Linked DNA regions of Schizosaccharomyces pombe. The protein of the gene in region 2 interacts with the protein of the main gene of each other region in a pairwise test. Each region holds a gene or a part of one and is shown on either strand. Other genes may lie near its edges.

The links.
Region 1: the proteins of dal81 (region 2) and tif223 interact in a two-hybrid assay, tested with the Schizosaccharomyces pombe proteins (one large-scale study listed by BioGRID).
Region 3: the proteins of dal81 (region 2) and spo7 interact in a two-hybrid assay, tested with the Schizosaccharomyces pombe proteins (one large-scale study listed by BioGRID).
Region 4: the proteins of dal81 (region 2) and ypp1 interact in a two-hybrid assay, tested with the Schizosaccharomyces pombe proteins (one large-scale study listed by BioGRID).

Annotation. Positions count from the first base shown.
Region 1 is NC_003424.3:5,365,617-5,370,337, forward strand, and holds tif223 (translation initiation factor eIF2B gamma subunit tif223), read left to right. Parts: upstream 1-1,788; 5' UTR 1,789-1,931; coding exon 1,932-2,080; exon of another isoform or gene 2,081-2,149; intron 2,150-2,204; coding exon 2,205-2,475; exon of another isoform or gene 2,476-2,598; intron 2,599-2,601; coding exon 2,602-3,043; exon of another isoform or gene 3,044-3,084; coding exon 3,085-3,227; intron 3,228-3,298; coding exon 3,299-3,670; 3' UTR 3,671-3,762; downstream 3,763-4,721. Other genes in the region: amidophosphoribosyltransferase Ade4, read right to left, coding at 1-345; SAGA complex subunit Spt20, read right to left, coding at 4,564-4,721. UniProt on the Schizosaccharomyces pombe protein: Acts as a component of the translation initiation factor 2B (eIF2B) complex, which catalyzes the exchange of GDP for GTP on the eukaryotic initiation factor 2 (eIF2) complex gamma subunit.
Region 2 is NC_003424.3:1,745,906-1,751,478, reverse strand, and holds dal81 (transcription factor), read left to right. Parts: upstream 1-2,313; 5' UTR 2,314-2,434; coding exon 2,435-4,561; 3' UTR 4,562-5,011; downstream 5,012-5,573. Other genes in the region: pex6 (peroxin-6), read right to left, coding at 31-1,386.
Region 3 is NC_003424.3:3,245,408-3,253,437, reverse strand, and holds spo7 (ArfGEF Spo7), read right to left. Parts: upstream 5,680-8,030; 5' UTR 4,841-5,679; coding exon 884-4,840; 3' UTR 557-883; downstream 1-556. Other genes in the region: histone H3.3 H4 heterotetramer chaperone Rtt106, read left to right, coding at 5,731-5,812, 5,858-6,481, 6,526-6,950. UniProt on the Schizosaccharomyces pombe protein: Appears to have a role in sporulation.
Region 4 is NC_003424.3:4,541,335-4,547,446, reverse strand, and holds ypp1 (cargo transport protein Ypp1), read right to left. Parts: upstream 3,612-6,112; 5' UTR 3,374-3,611; coding exon 3,365-3,373; intron 3,326-3,364; coding exon 3,214-3,325; intron 3,158-3,213; coding exon 690-3,157; 3' UTR 501-689; downstream 1-500. Other genes in the region: vma2 (V-type ATPase V1 subunit B), read left to right, coding at 1-367; SPOM_SPAC637.03 (uncharacterized protein), read right to left, coding at 4,084-4,893. UniProt on the Schizosaccharomyces pombe protein: Involved in endocytosis.

The DNA.
Region 1 (4,721 bases), 3.6 Mb from region 2:
TCGTAATTCGGGTCCATTAATTAAATTACCATTATGGCCCAACACAAGACCATAAGGAGAGTTAACATAAAAGGGTTGTGCTTCAGAGTGAGCACAACTTCCAGCAGTAGGATAGCGCAAATGACCAATACCCATACTACCTACGAGTTGGCGAAGTTGATGCTGACTAAAAACATCGGCAACCATGCCGGATCCCTTGCATTGGTAAAGACGACCTTTGTTTCCAGCGGTTACAATACCGGCGGCATCTTGACCCCGATGCTGCAAACTGTAAAGACCCTCATAAATTTCAGGACATGCCTGTTGATGAGGGTCAGCAAGCATTAACGCCAAAATTCCGCACATTTTCTAAAACTTGTTAGAGCTTCGGTTGTGAATTGAATACAAAAGATAATAAAATGATAGGTTTAAATGTACAAAAGAAAAAACAGCACCCAGTCAAATTGCTATAACTTGATTAAAATAATATGAGTCGGACTGTTCTATTCGGACAGCAATCAAAGTTTGAGAATACTTGGAATATAATTTCAATTTTTTTGTACCGACCGTAAAATGAGTTGTATGTTACCATCACAGAAAATAAAAAATTTTAATCAATTAAGCAGACCTCAGAAAACCTTGTAGCTACATAAGATGAAATTCAGAAGTCTAGCATCTAAATAAACGGTAATCATCATAGGCAAGTACTGCGGCGTTGGAAAATCAATATCTATATTAACTTACTTTTTAAAACGCGTACGAAACAAAAAAAAAAAGATTTTCAGGTACGCGCTGAACAAACACCGTAGTTGGGTATATTGTTAAGGCAAAATTTTGCTGCCGTATAAATTAATTTATTGTCCGCCTTAAATGATAGTGAAGTATGAGTCGAAACTATGACTGCTCAAGATTGTGATGAACGATTCGCTAAATAGAAGCTTAAAGAGAGGTGGGATATGCGCACGTTAATATAGGTAACAGGTATAGCTTGCTACTTAGCTGACAGGGTAGATGATATTAAATTGTTTGCTATTTTTGTTGCCAAAAAAAATTTTTTAAGCTTAAAAATATATCTTTAAATAAAACCTTCTTATATCAAAAAAAATTCGATGAAGTTAAGAGTGGTGCAGTGTTACAGTAATGCCGCATACACATCAACTTATTATTGAGCTTTACCGGAGGTATCCCATTACTATTTATTTGTTATAAAATCTTTCAATGTTCTGGTTTTTCTTCCTTCTTTACTCGGTAGTTAACAACAATACATTAATCACCGAGATGAGAGCTATGGGTAATCTAATCCAAAACTTTTAGTTCAACTTGTTACGATTGCAGTAGTCCAATGGTTTTTAAACTTAAAAAACTAATGAAAACAATACACAATGTACTGTATCTCTAATCTTCTGATTCCTCAAAATAATAGTTTACTAACCGGCTTCAAATATTTGTTCCTTAATTGGTGTACAGAGGATCATTTTCTGAGCGCTTGATTGATATTTTTTACTATCGGATTGATTATAAACCAGGATCGCGAAAACGTACCGATTTATAAATCGTTGATTATTAAAACATCTTTTTTAATATTGCACATTAAACAAAATTACAAGTGCAAAGCAATAATTAGTTTTCAAGCAGCTCCACATTTTGAGTTGGTAAATCATTTTAAAAAAAAATCATCAATAGTTCATATTTCATGAATACATTTTTCTAAACACAAATATAAATTCAGCACATTTTTATTTCAGATAGTGATGTGTAACGTGTAAACTTTTGGCTCGTTAGTAGGGATCTAGGAAAGTAAGGTTTTCCATCTTCATCAAATATTGGCGTACTGCAAAAAAACCCAATAATTCGTCTTCTATCAGGTTATAAAAGATTTTGGCTTCAAAGCATCCTTTTAGGTAAAAACCTTTTGTAAAAGCATCCAACGCCTTGAAGAACAACATCTCACAATGTCGTTGTATGAGCATGCTGCACTTCCTTTAGCCAGTAGCCCTTCAATCCTTGGACCTATTTCTGGTGGACGAAATCGGGGGAATATTCAATTACAGTCTATTCCGATTGAATTTCAAGCTGTTGTTTTTGCAGGATTTGGCAATAGGTAAAACAAACAAGTGTAGTACTGACTACTTAACGATTTGGATAATGATGACTTCGCACATATTATCTTCATCAACACTTAAAAAAGATAAAATAACAATAAGAAAATACTAACCATGTTTTAGTTTATATCCTTTGACTGGAAGCGATGCACTTCCCAAGGCTTTATTACCTATCGGCAATAAACCGATGCTTCACTACCCATTATATTGGCTTGAAGCTGCTGGATTTACTTCTGCTATTCTTATTTGCATGGAAGAAGCGGAAGCCCATATCAATGCTTGGTTACGATCTGGCTACGAGGGACATATGCGTATTCACGTGGAAGCACCGACTATTTTAGATGATTCTAAAAGCTCTGCCGATGCTCTTCGTGCTGTATCCCATCTTATAAAGGTATGATTTATTTTTATGTATAAGTAGATATGCATGTGTTCTTAGACTTTTTGATCTTTTCTCTCTCATTCTGCAATTTAATTACTCGTCTTAAAGTCACAAAAAATGCTAACCGATACCCACCAGAATGACTTTGTGTGTCTCAGTTGTGATAGTATAGTTGGTCTCCCTCCCATATACGGTTTGGATAAGTTTCGCCTTGATAACCCTTCAGCACTGGCTGTATATAGTCCAGTGTTAAAATATGAGCATATTACAAGTCAATCTAAAGAGATTGATGCAAAACAACTGATTGGAATTGAAGAGAAGACGAGCAGACTATTGTATGCCAAAAGTTCCGCAGACGTGGGCAGTGATTTTACATTTAGAATGTCTTTGTTGTGGAAACACCCAAGGGTTACGTTAAATACAAACCTTTCGGATGCCCATATATTTGTATTTAAACACTGGGTTATTGATTTGATCCGGGAGAAAGAATCTATTTCTAGCATTCGTGGAGATCTCATCCCGTATCTTGTTAAATGTCAATATCAGAAATCCTTTACTGTACGAGAGAACATTCAAAGATGTAAGTGCTTTTTTTAATTAACTATTTTCTAACAATTAAAGTTTTGTCATCTCCTAACAATATTGATAATTATGATGGGGGATTATCCTCACAGGAAATTAAAATTAATGCTTTAATTGCCAAAGATGGGATTATTTGTTCTAGGGCTAATAATTTACCTAACTATTTCGAACTTAATAAATGCGTATGTTTTCGAAAGCTGAGCTTCATCTCGCTTTTTAGCAGTTTCATCCAATATCTCTAACAGCAAACTAGATCGCCAAACTTACTCCAGAACAACGCCTTGTAGATGTCACCGTGTCCGAAAGAGCACTGGTCGGTGCCGATTGTATGGTGAATGAAGGTACCACCATTAAGGATAACAGCAACATTAAAAAGAGCATTATCGGTAAAAATTGTGTAATTGGAAAAGGGGTAGTGGTCAGCAACTCTATTTTGATGGACAACATTGTTGTTGAAGACGGAGTACGTTTAGAATCTTGCATAGTCGCCTCAGGTGCTCAAATAGGCGCTAAGTCAAAACTTCGTGAATGCGAAATTGGCGTTGATCATCGCGTTGAAGCTGGCCGTATCGCTCGGGGTGAGCGGCTGGTTGATATGGAAAAAATTGAGACGGACATGGACTAATACTGTGTATCAAACCGTTGTCAGCCAACCTTTTTTTTGAAATAGATATAATAAAAATTTCGTGCACTTACTCTACAAAGTGTGTCTAAACTAATCAAGGTAAAGGTGATATTAGTCAGGAATTTTTAGATTAAAAATATATACTCATAGATCAATATTAGCTAAAAGCGAAGGGGAATAAATTACAGATGAAAACGCATGTACATATATATGCAAAAAAGTTATACATATATACAAGGTTATACACATATACATCTAAAAAAGTTCATATCGCTATGGGTTAGTAATAACTCGAAAATATTTAAAACAAATAAAATAACCAAAAACTTTAGCACTCAGCGATCTTGGTGATAATAAAAGAATCATTTATTGATCATAAGCAAATATTTCATCAATTGCAAAGCAGAACGGTTATTTGTTTTGAAAATTAAATTGCCTTACCTAACGTTCATAAAAAACAGGACGTTCTTTAACTCCATTATTATAATATTTAAAACTTAAAACAGTTAGCAAGGTATTCGTATTAACAAAAGCAGTTGATGTAATGGAAATCAATCAGAAGATTATTTGTCGCATACTGATGGAGCCCATATGGGAATCAGGCAAGATCCCGAGCAATACCATCGCTCAATCGCAAATTATAGTCATCATACAAAAATATCCAAATAACATATTAATTTTACTTACCTAAAACTGGGTGTTATTAGAAACAGCTACATTACATATCTCACACTGGTAAGTGAAAACGCCAAGTTGTTCCATGAGCAAAAAAGTTTTTATAGAGGAAAATGAAGTGAAGTAAAAAAACGTATTTATGCAACAAAAAAAATAAAATTTTAAAAATAATAAATAAAAAACTAAATTCGTGTATTAAATGATGAAGCATTTGAGAGTTACCTTTCAGCCTTCATTTGCTGCTGTTGTTGCTGCTGTCTCATTTGGAGTTGTTGAAAATGAAGATTTCGTGCAACCGTCATTACTGTTGCCAAATCAGTACCAGCGGCTATTGCTTGACGATTCAGAATTTCAGTAATTTGTTCCCGTGTAGCAC
Region 2 (5,573 bases):
AAAAAAGAGTTGGGATTAATTGAAACTTACCGTAAAAACAGGTGCACTAAAAAGAGAAGCAACTTCTTCTACTGCCTTTGTTTTTCCCGTAAATGGGTTTCCATGAAGCAGAAAAAAAGGATTAAACCCAGGAACTTGTTGAGGATCAAAAAAAGCTCTGCAGAATCTTAATAGTTTTTGGGAAGGAGGATGTACTTTAACAAAATTTAGAAGAGGTTTCCTAAGGCTGGGAAGAAGTCTGTGGGAAAGTTGAGTGTCAAGCACGATTGAGGTATCCTCATTGGTATAGTAAATGTTATAAGTATTTAAAGGATCTATTTCTTCAACAGAGTACCATATATAAGCGTCGGTATTCCTTGTAAGCTCTAATATATCAACTGAATCTGAATTAGCCATTAACGAATTTATAGGTACACAAAATATTTGTTTGCTTTGTAAGAAAACTTTTTGTTTAACTTGTTGTACAACACAAAGGTTAGCGGCTTTTAGAAGCTTTTCAGAAAAGCAGGATTGAGTTGGAATAGTACGAAGTGAGATTCTTGAAGCGATCCCGACAGATGGCCCACGAGCGACAAGAAATGCCTCTGTACCTTCCTCGGATATAACAGATTCGTTGAATTCATCAAAATAATGAAGAGAAGGCGAAAGCTGTACACTATCATGTTCAGTATCAGATTTTATCGAAGCAATTCCATAGACATTTTTTCCATCTGACAAGCGAAGGCTTATTGGGCAACCATTTTTTTTACCAACATTGAATAATAATTCAAAAGGAACATGAATTAAAGAGCAGTTTTGTAAGCACCATTGTATTTCAGTATGTACTTTTGATGGACGAATGACCAACTCAGCATCTGTTTCGGTTTTTCCTCGTTTAAATGATGAAATATTTTTTTCATTGGATGCTAAAAAAGTAAAACTATCTTTTCTTTCAATAACAAATTTCGTTTCTGAATCCACAACTCCATGTCGAACAGGTTGACAAACTTGTACCAAAATATTTTGGTTAATAAAATCGCTTTCCATTAAAATAGCATTTCTCCCTTTAATCCTTTCAATTATTGCATCCTGATCTTGTGAATTGTCATCTATAACAATCAACTGCACAAAATCCAGTTTGACAGGTGCAATTGTCGATATGTACAAGGCATCAGCCAGTAAGTTATCATAACCAGAAATTTCAACAGTACCATCCTCCAGATCTTCATTATTAATTGGTAAAAATATGCGACCAGCGATTGTAGGATTAGTGGTCATGTAAACATAAGCAGAGTGTTCCTCGAAACCTGGCAACGCTTTCTTGAGCCATAAATATGAAACCCATGCTTGCTTGCTTTCATCTAACTTTGGCAACGGCTTTGCAAGTGTGCAAATGCGATTTTCCATAAAGTAGTTTTCCGTCCTGCAGTATGAATATTTAAAATAAAACGTTGATACAGTTGAAGGCAGGAAATGCGACGATTTTTAAAATCGATCCCAAAAAATATGCACAAACATATAACTATTTATGAAAAAAGAGTATTTATATTTGTATCAATTAGATGCACAAATATTTACAACGAAATTATATTTTGTTGGTTGCAGGAATCTGACAACCTTGATGTCTGAGTACAGAAGATGAAGTTGTGCAAAATGATCGTTATTGAAAGTTAAACTTAACATTGAAGTTTCGTATCAAAAATTTAACATTTATTCAAGTAAAACTAAAAAAAACAAAATCCTGAAAGATATAAGCAAAAGAAAGTATTCCGTGAGATATACTAAGTGTCATTTACTGAGTTAAAATAATTCTCTAACGCCTAAAAGCAAAATATTATGAGTAAATTGAAATTAATCCATTCGTCAAGCCAACACTCTTAAAAGCAAAAAGAATTGTTAAATGGTAATTTTGATAGTTGGTGACTACATCAGAGTTCGTAAACGCAAGGACCCATTTTGGTCAAATAATACTATTTTTTTTTTGAAATAAATTGCGAGAACTTTTCCTTCTATTTGCTTCAAATAAAAAATCAATTGAATACAAGCTATTCTGCATCCGATCATAAAAGTCTAATTTATATCAGCAAATTCATTCGTTGTACTCTGTTTCATTGTATATTTATGTTCTTATTCAATCATAATTGCAAATTATTTAATGCCCATCAATATTTTTACAATAAAGATTTTGAACCCAACGTAAATAGTCTTAAAAAAAGCGATGGTGCTTTAATAATAAGACCATTCATAAACATATGGACGGTTAATCTCGCTAACCTTAATGTACTTAAAGTTAAAGCTAGACGATAAACACCATCCATGCTTCGCTACCGCCCATCTCACTTCAAAATCGCCTTGTTCTTGTAACACATCCCGTTTTGGTGTGCTCCCTAATGAGGTGATACTGTCATCCTTTTACTTGGGTCGTGTAACTACGATTTTATGTATTGATTCGTAAATGGACCAAAGTTCATCTCCTTCGCAGCCAGAGTCTCAGGCTCAACCGAATCTATGTATTCCCTGCAGCTTGGGAACTTGCTTGATCCATTTCCATGAGTTTTCTTCCTCAAGCTTTATGGATCCTGTTTCTTTGTTTTGTTCAAGTCCTTATCCTAACTTGCCACCGCACTCTCGTTCTTCTAGCCTTGAATCGAAAAAGCCTTCGGTTGCCTCGCAAGATGTAAAGTCTGATGGTACTTTGCCTATTGGTACTAATAACAATCCTTTAATTCCTTCACATAGTCAGGAAAGTAGTCACTGGACAATTCGACATGAATCAATGCCTTCCGCATTGGCTGGTAGCTCAGCACAATCCATGCAGCAGTTTCCCTCTATAACTCAGAATGAGGAAAATTTTAGATTTAAAAAGTCTTTCACACAACCACAACCCATTGTTAAAGAAACCACTTTTCCAAAATCCGAACCTGGACAGGAGCATGCAAAGTTATCCGACCTTTCATATGAGGAGTTTTTAAAGAAATACTCATCTACCAAGGTTGAGAGAGTTTCCGAAGCTGCCCCACCTCCCTCAAGTCTAAACAGCTCAACTGTGTTGGATGAGAATGATTCTCTAATTAGTCAAGGTTCATCAGTTGATGACCAAACGGATTTTCTTGGTTTTGACGATTCTTTGTCATATGCTTATATTTTGAACCCAACATCTGATTCTGACGTCGATTTGATAAGGCAGTACTTTATACCTAAAGAGGGAACCTATACATTTAGTAATATGCACATTCGTTATGTTTCTGCAAACCCAAAAACTCCAGTTATGTACATGGTTGATCCAGCTTATGAGCCGCACAAACAAATTGCTCGTTATGAAAAACTTCAGCAAATATTTCAAGTGGTTGAAGCCACAGTATCCCCAGAAGTCGGCGAACGATTGATTGGCCTTTACTTCCGGTACATTCATCGCGTATACCCTGTTATTCATGGCGAAAGATTTCTCCTCGCCTTCAAAAAGGCAAAACACAAACTGTCCCCTATCCTTTTAACTGCGATGTATGCTTCCTCAATTATTTATTGGGATGCGGATAAAGAGTTAAGAAATTATCCTCGCTTGGATGCAAAAAAATTATGGGATCTTACTGAGGATTTCTTGGATCTTTCCTTTTCTCTCTCTCGATTAAGTACGCTACAAGCGGCGATTATTTTTTTAACGGGAAGACCATGGATTAACGTAGCTGGAAACTGGAGCATTTTGACTAGAGCGATTGCTTTAGCGCAAATTCTCGGGTTCCATTTGGATTGCTCTGAATGGCAGATTCCAAAGGAAGAAAAAATCTTGCGTAATCGAGTGTGGTGGGCCCTTTTTGTTAACGAAAAATGGCTTTCGATGTATATTGGGATCAATGCAAGCATTCGTCAAGATGACTACTTAGTACCACCATTAACGGACAACCAGCTATTGGCTGGGGAGCAAAGGATTGCCGACTCATTCAATGTATTTGTTAAAATGGCGGAACTAAGTATTTTGCTTCAAAATGTATTACAACATCTTTTCAACGCTCGAGCGGTTATGACAATGTCGAAAAATCGGCGTACTGTGGCTCAAAAGATATCAAAATATCTGATTAGTCTGGAAGAATTTTCATGTAGCTGTAATTTAAGAGAGAACCAACCTGGATCTTTATCATTGTTTTTACAAATCGATGCCTTGGAGTTGTTATTACGGAAAACAGCATTGAAACTTAAACTGACAGATGCAGTATATCAGCAAGAAATGTTGAACGTGGTGCAACGTTGTGTTTCTCATTTTCTAGCCATTAACGAATCCCATTTTACTGATTTTTTCTGGCCGTATTCCCAATTCTATTTTTGTATCCTATCATCTGCAATCATTAAGATGTATCTGGACTTTGAGTTTAATGAAAATTTTAATGCTACGACTTTTGGCCTTTTGTCATCTTTCACAAAGCATTGTGTCTGGCTGAAGTTTCGAAATTTTGATTTGGTTTTCATGGCTTATAAGCGATTAAACGCGTTGCTGATTGAATTAAGCTCAGGTAGACCACTTATTGGCAAACTTCTACAAGAAACCTTTGAACATCGAAAGCGTAACTTGGACGAAACCCTGACATAATGATAGTGTTTAGACCTTTCTAATTCTTTTTTTTTTGTTTGGTTTTAAGAGTTGTTAATTGAATACTTATGAGCCTATACCTACCTAATTAAGGATATCTACACATTATTATTTTTTTAGTCAGCTCTAGTTGCTTATATTTTATAAAGTAGTTTAGGATCCTTGTTAATTTGATTAAAGGGCTTCATTAAAAACATCTGATAGAAAAGTTTAAGTGAGTTAGGAATATTCACGAAGGATGGAAAGATAATATTGAAGTGATAACATCCTATCGTTTTATAATGAGATATTGATTGCAACAATAAGGTTTATCAGATCTGAACATATATTTATTTATATTTTAAAGTTTACCAGGTGGAAGCAAAAAAGATCTCCTGAGCCAGAATCGAACTAGCGACCAACCGGTATCATCGAAATTACAGCCGGGTGTGATAACCAACTACACCATCAGGAGTTAGTTGAGAAGTGGTGTCTAATAGAATATATATAATATATGAAAAATTAAATATCTTGTATCTTAAATTAGCCGGAGTAGATTCAAATAATGATGATAATTAGATCCGTACAAGTTTATTAAAAAGATGAATGAAAGTAATAGTAGGCTTGAATTCCATTTTTTAAGAACAAATATGAAAACTCTTGATGTGGATACTAGAAGTCTAAGCAATACAGGTATATAACAATAATCCATATTCTTAAAATGATCATCAGAAAACGCTTATTCTTACATATTTTTACTTCATTACAATTATTTACCAGTTTTTTTCATCTTTTCATACTCTATAGTTTCTTATCAAATATTCCGTATAAATTATTAGAGTTGACTTGTACCAAGATCATCTGTTCAATTGCTTTGTGCATATATTTTACTTATGTTGTTTATTTTTCTTTCAGAGGAAGAAGCCTTTTGGCTGTGTCGAATGCGTAGATATGTTATACAAACGGTTATAATCCGGGATATGAGAACTAAATGTTTGGTCACTATAGGACAGTTTTTCGTTATAAAAGAAAT
Region 3 (8,030 bases), 1.5 Mb from region 2:
AAAATTGATTAGTACGTATATCTATTAAGATGAAGTCGTTTTATACCCTTGATGCGACGTAGGTGGAAAGTAACTCTACTATAATTCGTTGAATCATACAAAGTCAATAATAATTTAAAGGTAGAAGAATAATTATGAGTACGTTTTATCAATAGTGATTCTTTAAATATCGGGCAATTGTTAAACGCCTGCACAAAAGACGCGATATGTGCTCAGGTTATGTTAACCGTTAGCGCCCTCCATTGCGACGTGACTTTGCAAAGAAGGATTATGTAGAGTTTTATCTAAGCGAGAAAAAATTAATCAGAAATTAATGCTTAAAACAGTATTATAAATCAACGAAGGTGAAATATAAAAGTACTGCAATTTCTTTCTGTTTCTATAATTGCTTTATTCCTTATTAATTGCATACACCTCTACTCATATTGTTTTATTTCAAAATAGGTGAAACTTGGACTTTAGCATTCTGGTAGCTATAGCATGTATCCAAGTTCTCGCAAGCTGTTTGATTAAGTATCTAAGTAAAGTTACTATTGTAAGTTTAAAGCTAAAATGAGCGGTAACCAACGTAGTTATTCAGTTTCAACGAGCGCGTATTAAGGCATTTGAAATAATCCCATCGAAGCATATATTGCAATAATGAAATATTCTATAACTGGATGTTATCAGAAGTTTAAGCATAAAAAAATAATAAAATGACAAAAGATTTGTCAAATCTAAATAAAATCAAAATACTTTATTTGGAACTCTCGACAACTATTAACCCTCTTCTTCAGAAGCTAAAAAAAAGATATCTAAGTAGCATTCTCTCAATCGGAGGCCTAATGTCTTTTCATCACTCAAGTTTATTTATTCGTTTAACTACTTTGAATGAAATTTAATTTTATAATCCTTTAAAATCATAAGGATATCTTACAGGAGATAAAGTTGGGTAGAAATCATGGGATTTCCGATATTCGTACTCGCATTCCAAAACTCGCTGGTACTCTTTGTACATCATTGATCGTTCATATAGAAACTTCATCTTTCTATTCCAATTATCCATTGCTTTGAGGTAATTTTTAGATCCGGCGGCAAAACATTTCTCCATTTTTTCAGGCAAAGACTGGAAAAGAAGGCAGGTTTCCAGTAAAGAAGGAACACAATCTCGTAAAATATGAACCTTATCACGCAGTGGACGAGGAATGTCTTGTAATCCTTGAATGTCCATTGGACTCCACCGTGTTAATTGAGCCAGGTCACCGACAAAGGTCTTGGTTCCATCAGCAGCAGTATAATAAGCCTTTTTCTCAGCTCTTGTTAAAATGTACCCCCAACCATATTCAGTGTTTGTAATATTTTCTGGTAGAGGAGGGCAAGTAATCATGGCTGCATTAAAATTTAAAGAATGAATCCATTCGTTCATCGCTAATACGCTGGGCGCTTCAAAAAGATAGCACTCATTTCCTGGAATATTTAGATAAAAGACATTATTGCGATTAGAATTAATTGATGGAGGTAAATTGGGAGATGCCAAGCAAGATTGCAAGCCAAATTCTCTATGGATGGGGCTAACATTTGAGCAAGCATTTGGATCTAAATGATCTGACTTATAAAAGATTAGTTTTCCACTATCGACAATACAGTACTTTTTCTTCCAATAACCTGCTACCCATCTATTGTTTTTGCTTAAAACCATTTTCTTATATGAAATCATGCCTCGTCGGTGCCATGGTAACCTGTTATGAGTCTTTTCTTCTTGCATATGATGAGTGTAATTAAACACCGAAAAATGTGGTCTACCATCTATAACTGATGGTTCAGGAAGATCAATCTCCTTTCCTGCGTAAATTCCTCCATTCTCTTCATTCAAAACAAACGAAGATTCCTTAAAAGCATCACTTTCAAGACTCGTGCTGTTTTTGTTTCCAGAACTCTCCTGCTTTAGTAATTTTGAACTTTTCATTAATTCAGATATCAGAGATGATCGATTCCTTTTGGGAGTCAAATCACCTCTTACTTGGTTGTGCAACTGTGCTTGCACGGCATTTGGTACTGCAAATGGAGACTTCAGAAACGTATCATAATATTCTTTTAGCATGCATTCAAGTATGAAACCGATATCGCTTGGTAAATTGCTCCACGTTGAGAAAAGCAATTTGGCAAACGTTGATCGGTTCTTCTTATATTTGAGCCAATGCTTTTTGTCCTCCTTCGACAAAATACAAACTGAATCTGGAGATATGAGAGGACGAAGTTTCTCGAGAGCATATTTCACAAAAGTTTCCATCGGAACGACATAAGAATTGAGCTTTTTAGAATAGGTTGATTTATGTAAATCAATTAAAATCAATACTATTTTAACAATAATGTCTTCATTTAAAAACCCATAATTACTATTTTGCTTAAGCCAACAAGATGCGAAGACTTGCAAAATAGGAGAGTGTATGTAATCATCCGAGCCATAGTAAAGATCACAGCATAATTTTTGAAAGGAAGCGTAAACATTTAAACTTGAAAAGTCATAGTGTGATATGAATTTTACATACACATTTTCATATTCAGATCCCAAACTAGCAAACCAATCTGTAAAATTGTACGACAATAGCTGCTTCTCTAGCAAATTCCGTAAGCAATTGGATAAATTAATGGGGTCCTTAAACTCTGAATTGTGACATACCTCGAACAATTTCAGTTGAGAACGGTCGTGTAAATTCAAAATAGTTAAAAGTGATCGTGGAACTTTAATTCTTGGATTGTTTTTAAATTCCAAAGAATTGGGAGTTGCTATTTCTTCGGAATTGAGATCACTCTTGCTATCACTTATAAGCAAAAACTCTTCTTTAAACTTTGAAGCGCTCAGACCTTCGTTAGCAAACGTTTCATCTTCATAATCTTGTAGGAACGTTTCCTGAATATCCATAGTTTTGACATCTGGATTCACAAAAACTTTTTCGCCAACCTGCTGACTATTTATGCGTGAATTGCGTAAATTGCGCATCTTGCGAATTTCTTCAGCTGCGTTTTCATGGTGAACTGACTGAGACTTAATCTGACTTTGCAATTGTTGAATATAGCTACGTTCATCATGACTAAGATGCTCTCGGTCATCCAATAGTAATTTTGAAATTGAAACTAGACCTTCGGGGGTTTTGGGTGAAGAAAACCGATTTTCACGCAACATTATTTCGTTTGTAATACCAACCTCCGAAAGCACTGAATAATACGCAACCAACGATTGTTTTAAGCAAGAAATCTGCTTTAGTGGTATTCTTTGGAATCTTGAATAAACTAACGCAAATTGGTGTTCCGCGATGTCTAAAGGGTATTTCCTGAGCAAAAGTTTTGCTAATTTGCAAAAATATAGGCGGTCAGAAAGATTTTCAAGTAAATACATTTTGGGATCAGCATTAGCAAGCTCATTTTTAGTGTTAAGTTTCGATACCTGTATACGACTATTGATTTTGTGTTCAGTAGCGTTCAAAGTTCTTGGATGAGGGTTCAACTCTAAATTTTTTTCCATTTTTATGCTCGGGTGTACATTACCATTTCCAGCTAGACACGCTCTCTCAATTTTTGAAATAACTTTCTCTGATGGATTAACTACCTTAGATATGCTGGAATGGGATGTCGGTTCAACATTGTTTATCGATTGTGGCATGTAAATATTTCCTAGTTGTTTGGCTAGTTGTTTAACATGACCCTTGGGAGGAGCCTCAGATGTCGGTGCCTTTGTTGTAGGAGCCTTTGTTGTAGGAGACTCTGCTGCAGCCAATGCTTGTGGTTGTACTGAATTAGAATCTTGGTTCATTAGTAGCGCAGTCTTTTCCCTTATCACTTGCAAAAACTTCTGAGAAGTTGTCAGAACTGAATCACCGACTGACACTTTTGGTGGTACTTCCATTGAACCATTTTTAGCAGCAAATAGGTTTATAGCTTCCTTTATTCTGTTACATTTTCTGGTGGAAGCCCGATAATTAGGACCTAAATTAAAGGGATTCTCTTCTAAAGCATTTGTAGTATGCCCTTTAGATAAATTTGAAACATAGTCCCTTTTTCTATTTCTCTCCCTAGCTAGCTCGATCCTTGCTCTAACATTTTCCCCGGAATACTTCCCCTGAATCCTCCTCTTAGCAGATAAACTAATTTTTTTTGAAGGAAATATTTCCTGAGGAAAATTGGTAACGACTATCGGAGGCGGCGTTCTTTGGCGCTTTTTAGAAGATGGAAGTTCTTCTTCATAATCTTTCAAATCACGTTTTAATGAGTAAGAACCAGAGGAAGCTCGTACGCCGTTGCCGAACATGGATTGAGAAGGATGAGAGTTTACGGGTTCACTAAATATTCGTTTAGGCTGAAGGCTTAAATCAGAAAGTTCACCATTTGTTCGAGGACGCCGGGTTTTAATAAACGATTCTTTGTTGCTTAACTTGCTTTTAACGTTAAACATATGATTGTTTTCAGCCAAGATTTTCTCAGACTCCACAGAATTGGCATTGGAATTGAGAAAAGAGCGACGATGACTTATAAATTCCTGAATCTGCTTCAAGCGTGTCCTTCTCTGAGAAGATTTGTCTTCTCCAGAAATATTTTCCGTTTTGCTTTTAGCGCCTTCCGTATGCAAATTTTCTTGACAAATTATTCCCTTTGATTCCTCAAGTTTGCAAAAATCGGTTGTAACTTTAGACCGCTTCAACTTCGAAAGCAACGCTGAATGCTTTTGGCCGGAAGTATAGGTAGGCTTTGATTCTCTCACAGGACGACAAGTGATGCGACTATCATTGCACGATTCCAACTTTGCAATTTTTTCCGAAACACTTAAGCTTGTTGGGGAAGATCCTTCTGTTATTCTAAAATCCATTCTACCTTTTTCGTGGATAATTATACAATTGATTAAAAGAAATTAATAGTTATGTCGGAAGAACGCTTAAAAAATACAATATGAATATAGGAATTCTTTCAATCGGTTGATCGCGAAAGCAATTAGGATAATTATGTAAGTTTTGTAAGGACAATTATCAAAATTGTTTCCTTAAATATTTATACAAACCGTCAGTTTTGAGGGAGGTTGAGGGTAAAGGAAAAATAGGCAAAACAAATAGCTTATGTCTTAAAACACCTCATTGCATTAGACCTAGCGAACAAACTATTTGTTTACGTTTGTAAATGTCAACACACGTTGATTACATCGGGAACAACATAAACCAATAAAACGAATTTTAGGATCATTTAATAATTTCTTTGACAAAATCGAAACAATAACAACTTTAAGGGAAACCATATCCGATTATAGGAGCAACAATCTGACCTTCCCAATGCTGAAGAAAGCTAATCAGTTCTACAGCTGAAATTTATCTATAGATCGCAAAAAGAATCAAAGGGAAAATCGATATCGTTTCACAAAATGTTCCCAACTTTTTTGGACTTTTCATACGAAAGTAACTGATACGATAATAGAATGAGTTTTTATCTCATTTATGTAAAATGACTACCTTTGTTGAGTAAAATTGAGCAATTATAAATTAAGCATATTCATATTGATCCATAAAATAAAAATTTGTTGCTAACATAAAGTCAACAGCGAACCGAAGTTTGAACGTAACCACTTGGGATAAAATTTTTATTGGATCGAAATCATTTGCATGATAATGGAAATAGTTGCTATTACATTTGTTACTGTTAGCTGAGGTGTGGTGTGCTGTCGAAGCCCTTGTTTAAGACTCAATAAATTCTAGCCGGCAGCCATCTCTAATGGAGTCCAACGTGAACGATGAAATAGAAAAGGCATTTGCCAAAGATTCTGAGTTAGCAAAAGATATAATCAAACAATATGGTAAGGTTTGAGTACATGCTTTTTTCCTTAGTCTAATGAAATTAGGGAAAACAAAAAGTATACAGCCTCTAGTGCATCGAATTTGCAAGTACATCAATACATTGCAAAAGGAAAACGAATCAGGCCAAGTGAAGGAGGCTGGAAGTTTAAAACGAAAGGATCGTGTTCAACATGAGTTAGGTCAATTGGTCTATGGAGTACTTAATCTATCGTTTCAGGCACCTATGCGAAAAAAGCTAGACGTCTACATTTATGAAAATGGAATAGCAGTAACATTACCAGGCGAACCCAATTTAATTGAATTTTGGCTTCCCTGGAATGAAATTCGTTGTGCAATCCATGTCCCATGTCCAAGGAAAGCTAATGTTCAAAACAACTTTGTGATCATCCTTAAAAGTGAATCGTCGGCAGAAAATATTGTTTCAAGTGATAATGTAAAAGAACCTGTCTTTTTTACGGCACCGTATCCTTTGAAAAAGCTCAACCTCGTTGAAGGTTTACGATCCTTCACCCACTGCACGAACTCATGGGATATTTTTCGCGATTACTTTGAGTTTATTGGCACTAGTACTTTGTCTCCTTCTGTCGAAGAATTTGTTTGTCCAAACCCGCAAACGGGGGACAATGGCACGACATATGGGGTTGAAGCAAACTATAAAGCTAAAGATGGTATGCAAAGGATGAATTCTGTGTCAAAATTGCTAATCAAATAGGGCATTTATTTTTTCTGCGTACTGGCATACTATGGGGCTTCCGTAAACCTATACTTTTCATTGAACTAGCTAGCATCCAGCATTTTTCCTATAGTAATGTTTTGCAACGAACATTTACAGTTAATTTTGAAGCTGGTGGTACAATATATTCATTCGATATGGTTGATCAAAGTGTCTTTAGAGCAGTAAATGATTACGCGACAAAGCATGGACTAATGGACTCCAGTCTTGCTGAAGAAAAAGCTGCACCAGTCCCTAAAAATCCATCTGTTTCATATTTGAATGAGGCATCATCTCTTGAAAATGTTGATGATATGGATGATATTGATGTTAAAGAACCTTTATTCTCTGATAACGACGAGGATGTCGAAAACAGCGACAGCGAGGACGGTAGCGAATCTATCGGTTCAGAGGACGAAGAATAGAAAGTTGAATGTACATAAATTTTTTTCTGTTTTATTTATTACCAGTTTGTTTTAATTTAAGGATTTAAATAAATTTAAAGTCTTCTAGCAAAAGGTTATCTGTGAGCTATCCAAATTTGTTTTAGACTCAAGTTATACACAAAGTTGTCGCAGGATACATTTTTTGTTGATAGTTTAAAAAGTGTGGATCTGGACTTTGTGTGCTAATCAATAGATTTACGCTCCCACTTGTTTGAGTTTTCTCAAAAATTACCCGACCAACATGTAAATATTTTCTATAATACTAATTTATGAAAATTCCTAATTACCTTATTCGATCTGCCGCTCTTAAAAAAGGTATATAATGTAAATAGCGGTTATTTAAAGTTCCTGATGTTCATTTTAACAGAAGGGTAGCTGAGTTTAAGCAAGAATTACCTGAACTGCCCATAATTTAATTCACAATTAGCATAAATCTTTAAAAACTCTTTCACGAGATTTTTTAATTATTTTTTTCAAAAAAAAAGACGACTATAAGTAACTAATTGTTTAATTTTTTACATTAGTTTTTTTCTTTGTCAATAAATTACTAAAATCTTTTTCTGAATGTAAGAAATTAAATAATTTAACAATATATCAACTCATCGACTGTTATTGAAGGATCTTCTTCTTAAAAAGAAAGAAAATTAATTTAAGACAATAGAAATGTTTTTGATTGATATTAATGATTAGCTCTTCTAAAATGCTGTTGCAATTTATCTAATCATTATTTATTTACATTTTAGTTAAAAAGCTATGTTCATAACGTACGGTAAAAAAAATAGGTGACACTTACGCAGTTCAGTGTCTTTTTTAACGATACGTAAAACCCGGTGATAATTCTTGTGACCTATTATATTATAATAAGTAGGTTAATAAGCGCTGACCAATGTAGGTATTATATATATGGGTCAAACTGTTACCTGTCACTAAATAGTGCTTATTACTGTACCTCGTTTCTCAGTTAAGTTGTAACTCTATTTATAATCTTACTGATAATTTTTCTAGAAAAATATCCTAGTAAATAAGAGGATAATGTCCGCAATGATCAATACGCGGATC
Region 4 (6,112 bases), 2.8 Mb from region 2:
TGCCATTGGTGAAGGAATGACTAGAAATGATCATGGTGATGTTTCTAACCAGCTGTATGCAATGTATGCCATCGGTCGTGATGCTGCTTCCATGAAATCAGTAGTTGGCGAGGAAGCCCTTTCTCAAGAAGATCGCCTTGCTCTTGAATTTTTGGGTAAATTTGAAAAGACTTTCATTAGTCAAGGTGCTTACGAGAATCGTACTATTTTTGAAACACTGGATTTGGCTTGGTCCCTCCTTCGCATCTTCCCTCGTGAGATGTTAACTCGTATTCCTAAGAAGATTTTGGATCAATATTATTCAAGATCCTCTGCCTATACTGAATCTTCCAAAGATGTTATAGACAACACTCCTGAAAGCTCTTAGTTTTTTGACGCTGCAAATACAGACCAAATAATCGCTAATTTTGAAATGTCCTTGAATCGTTATTTTCGGTGCAATTATCTAATGCTATTTGTTTGTTGGTGATTTGGAAAGAAGACTGTTATAGATACTGATTCAAGGTGCAATTGCTTCGTTATTAATTTAACACAATGTCATAAATAACATTTATCTATTTATGTCTATTATGTGAGTTCATATTGAAGTTACAATCACTACAAAGGAAACATATAAATTACTATTGAAAGTGCCTTAAAGTTTGTAAATTCAATTTATAAATAATAAAAGTCCAAAAAATGTAGACAGTTTAAACGTTCATAAACCTAGGCTGCAAGTTACTCCATCGGCGTACAGGGTTTGTATCAGCTAGCTGGATGCAATAATCATACGAAAACGCAGCTTGTTTTAAATCACCGAGTTGACGAAATATTTCTGCAGTATAATACCAAGCTTCTGGTAGATCCCAGCCATACTGCAAAGTACAGCTCGATAAAATAGCATCTGCTCTATTTCTACGAGAATGCATAGGCCCATAGCCACCTTGTAAAAGACACTTTGCAAGGGCCGTCGAAATTAAGGGATCCTCCGGGTCTAAATAATGAGCAACGTCAAGTTGCTCATACCCTTCAACTTCTTTTCCCTGTTGTAGTAAAGATAAACCATTTAAATAGTACACCCAAGCACATTCATGGTCTATTTTTTTAGCTTCTAGTAAAGCGCTTCGTGCTTGATCATCATTTCCACTTTTAAGGAAAAGAGATGCAGCGGTAAGCCAAAGCTTCTGATTGAGATATGATACGGTTTTACCACGACGTAACTGAAAATTTTCTTTATAGGAAGAGTGGGATTTTTTGCTTAAAACAGTAGATCTCTTAAGCGATGATTTCCTGGAAAACCCAAGAATACTTCCTTTTTCATTTTCCACATCTTTAGAGATTTTCTTGGATGATTTAATGGATTGAATAGTCGATCGTTCTAAAAGCGTTGATAATTCATCTGACGATCCTTCCTTTGATATCCTGTACTCATTCAAATCAAAAATACTAGCAAATAATGTAAATATTTCATCCTGGATATCCAGAGTAGCTTCTACGCCTTTTTCGGCTTCAAAAAGAGCTAGTTTCGTAATCAATAAATCGACCAAAGCGCAGCGGTCATTAAATGTCAAATTTGTCAAACTAATCTCAATAGTGCCATCTTCATTGACATGATTAATGCCCCAAGTTTCAAATACACTATCGATCAGCTTAATTCCTGCTGCGTATTGTTCAGAACAAGACACACACAAAACCAAAAGATGCCAAGATACAATACTGTACTTAGGGTTCACCTCAAGAAGTCGCCGAACAATTTGCATTGCATCAGTAATGGCACGTCTCTCCGAATATTGCATAGCCAAATGGAAAAGTGCATTTGTATTGGTTGGTTGCTTTTCTAGACATTTCTGGTAAGATTGGACGCTCTTCTGGTGATATCTTTCCCTTAACGAAGGGTTGTTAGCTTGATAATACATGAAAGAATAAGCAACTCCTTCTGTATGATAAATTAAAGGAGCAATATCGTCACGTTTCAGTAAATCATAATCAGAAGCAATTTTTGTAATATAATCAAGTATTTCAGAAACTTTTTTCAAATTACGAAGATATTGCGCATAAACGGTCATCATAACGGAGCATACTTCAATAATACTTTTCGGTTCATCAACAAACACTGGTTTGATATCAGAAAAAGAGCCAGCGACATCTGAATTTTTTCTTGCTAACCGTTCGTGAGATTTTACGCATAGAAACTTGTAAATTTCAAAAGCCTCGCTAGCTTCTTCAAATTCCTCAATATGCCTTAAAAAAAATACCAAAGAACGAAAAATTTGTTGTGCTTGGAAGCATTTTCCAGTAAGCTGATAAAGCATTCGAATCAAGCTGACAGTGATATCGTAAGATTTCTCTGTGTTTATCCATATTGATGTTGCAAGTTCAATAAATTCAACGGCGAACATGTTTTGATCACCAGCTTTAGGAAAAGAGGTAAAGTTACATAACAAAGACCCATAATCGAGGACAAGTTGAGGCCAATTTAAATAAAGATTTTTAACCGGACTTTTAGTAAAAATTTTTGATCCATTTGTATTAGTTCTTAAAATATGTTCCAAATATTTAATAGCTTGTCTGCTGGTAACTAGTTTATAAAGCAAATTCACGGACTTATGCTCGGTAAAATAGCTCAAGCATGTAGTAAGTATATTAGCTCTTTCTAATTGACTCGAACAAGCGCTTACAGACATTTGAGCATACAATGAATATGCAAGATCGCACCATCTTGTAAGTTCCGGTAAAGGCTTCTTGCCAATATTGGCATTTTGAATTAAGCCAATGGCCGAACGAACGTATTGATATGCAACTTCATCGTTAGCTTGAGCATATTGAGCTAGCGATGATAGCACTGTTGCTTGTAGGATGCATATACCAGTGGAAGTTTCAGTCCACGGAATTCCTTGAGGAGACCAATCTAAATCTACGGCTTCGGGAAATTTACGCTGTACAATGTATAATAACAAGCGTATGGATGTCTCCTGAAGCTTCTCATCTTCTGTGGCATTTTGAATGTTCAATGAGTTTAATTGACTTAGAAGAGGGTCGGTACGAGCACTGGGTAAAGCCGGAATTAGGGAATACTGATTATCTATTAATTTAGGCTCCAAAACGTTTGCAATATTTTTTAGTTCAGCAGTTAATGCTGATTTAAGAGAAGCTTCAATTTTTGCTAATTCACAAACGACTAAAAAAAGGTTAGTCTAGATGACAAGTGGAAAACTTTGACTGTAAATCACTCACAGGACTTTGAAGAGTTATGCTTATGCAATTTTCTAGCAACCTCAGGAATTGCCTGCCAATCTCCATTACATCTTGTTTGTTCTAGTTTTAGTTCATAGGTTTTTGCTTTAGCCTATATCAGTCAGTATGAAAACTCATAGTTTAGACGTACGGAAAACATGAATTTTTTTATAACTTGGTATTTGTATATATAAAGAGAAAAAAAAGGTCAAACGCAGTAGTTGGAACGTAAAATTCGTTTATAGAACTTTGAACGCAAACTTTAAATAAATTGATATATATTTACAGTAACAAGAAAAACGAAGGAATTGTAAAAAGAAAAGGTTTAAAGAAGGTATTTAACGCCTCAAGAATACCAAGATGAAGGAATTTTGATGGTTCGATATATGGAGTAGGCCAAGGTTGAATGGAGGTGCGTAACCGTCGGCATGAGAAAGTAATTGAGATATTGAGCTAAGTAAAGAAAAAGTAGTGTATACCAAGTTTTTTGCTTTAAGGGTTCTTTAATAAATACATGAAGCAAATAAGATTAAATAATTAGCGTACAAGTTAGCCAGAGTACGAATAGTTGAATATGATGACACTTTCGTGATCCATATAAGAATAAGCTGGATGTCTTCGTCAATGAAGTGCTTGTAAAGTTAGCACACGAAGCAACTTTATACTAAGAAGGGTGCTATTAACCATGATGAAGTTGATCGTCAAAACTATGCTTTAATCTGCTATCCACCTGAATTTTGAGTCGAAAGATTTATGGGAGAAAAATTAAATTTTTATACTAAAGTTAAGTGTAACATAATACAATTAAGCAAATTCATTATCATACTATTTAGTAGAACGGAGCAACAACATGCAGAAGACTACAAGAGTTTAAACTGCGGGTCCCGCGTTGTTGTCCTGAAGCAAAGGAGCACTCTCGCCTGTTAAAGCAGCGCGTCTCTGTCTGTAGGGAAGGAGGAAGAGAAGAGCAGCGAAAAGGGTCATGAGACCAGCAATGATAAAGGCGAAAATGTGTTGCAAGGCAAAGAGGTGAATAAACATTTGTCCAATACCGATTGAAAGGAAAAGGTATGCGCTGACGAGGGAAAGAGCCCAGTCATGGAATCCTAAAATAGGAACAAGATACATGGCGGCAAAGAACCAGATAAACACATTAGAAAAGACGCGGCAACCAATGCCGGTGCAGTGTAAAGCGGCAGAGAAGGCATAAACAACGAACCAAAGAGACTTGCCAAAAACAAGTTTCGAGGGCAACTTCATGCTAATCATCTCAACAAAACCATTTCTCAAGCGAAGCGATTGGCCGTACATGGTGAAAGAAGATGAGAATAGACACAAGGAAAAGAATGCAGTCCAGTACAGCTTCTCACGGGTAAATGCCCAGACGGTAAACACGACAAATACATTGTACCAGATAGATGTGTGAATAATGGAGAAGGTAAAATCGTTTACCTGATCACCAAGCATTAAAAGGGGCACAATCATCAAAAGGAAAGACAAGTATTCGACCAAGAGGTAGCCACCAAGCATGAACTTGTTGGCGAAAAATGGAGTGGCATGGTGATTGTAAACCCATTCAAGAGATGGTTTGGTAAACAAATGAGCCAAAAGGGTAGCAAAGCTTACACCCAAGGCTAAGACGAGCCCAATAATGTATTTTGACTCACGAGTAATTTGCATATTGAACAATTAAGTAGTAGGCGAAAGAATAAGAAGAAACTAGCGGTAATATTAATAGTACGAATTGGAAGAAGAAGAAAAAATTAAATTACAGGTCTTCTTTCCCGGAGATAGTAAAAGTAGCGAAGCGGCAATTTTCAACCACTTTTGGAATTTGGTTTGTTTGTGTTTTTTTAGATATTAACTAGGTTCCGGCAATACGCAAGGAATTGACGATAAACTAAGCAACAGCCTATGAAAGTCAAACTTTTTAAATTGAATAAAATCGTTGGTAAATACGACTTAAAAAAATTGAATTCTTCTGCAACAATTCCTCGTAACAAACAGTAGCAAAATCCTAAGCTTTTCTTTAAAAGCTAAACCAAGTGTTTGAAGTGGATTAAAAGTAAATTGTGTTAGAAAGCAACGTTATACGCAAACTTGCAAATATGTATGGGAGAGGGAAGGTCATAAAAGTGCGAGAGATTTAATATATATAGGCAGACTATTTAAATTTAGCAGACTGCAGAAACTGCCCAACCCATGCCTCCTTCCATCATCATATTCCTTCGTAATGCTTACGCAACGATGCCTTGGCATCAGCTGAAACCATGTATCATGGAGTAACATGTTACGTATATCGATGGGAATGTCAATAAGGCGTAAAATGAAAATTCCAAAGGCGCTGATTTCAAAGAAATTACCATTTGCTCGCGCTGAGAAATTATTTATGAGCTTTTTATAAAATCAACTGTTTTGGAAGATACAAATTTATGCGATGCCTTTTAACCCGGTTTTCAAAGCCGAATTGAAGCGACCACAAAGGCCATAAGAATGTTGCGAATTGAAAGTATTTAGGAATTGGTAGACATACATTGGAGAGTGTTCTAGTTTATCAATCGCATTTCTTTTTTGTAAAGCATTTATTATTGGAGTCCAACTAAACCGTTTGCTTAAAATAGCTTGGCTTGGTATGGCATAGCAAGGCAAATTAATGACAATCGCAATTCAGTTCGATACAGGGCATTGAAGATAGAAGCAAAAAAAACACAATTCTTGAAAGTTTTGGATGAGTATCCGTTCATCCAAATGATAGACTTTCTCGGGTTGTTGGATGAGGATCTCCTTTAGCCGTGGATTGTTCTGTATCTTTTCCGTATAAGAAAACCACAAGTGACACATTTAAAGGGTAAACTTAGAGTCTTCGATATATTTTTCTGACTGAAGAAATGCTAGAATT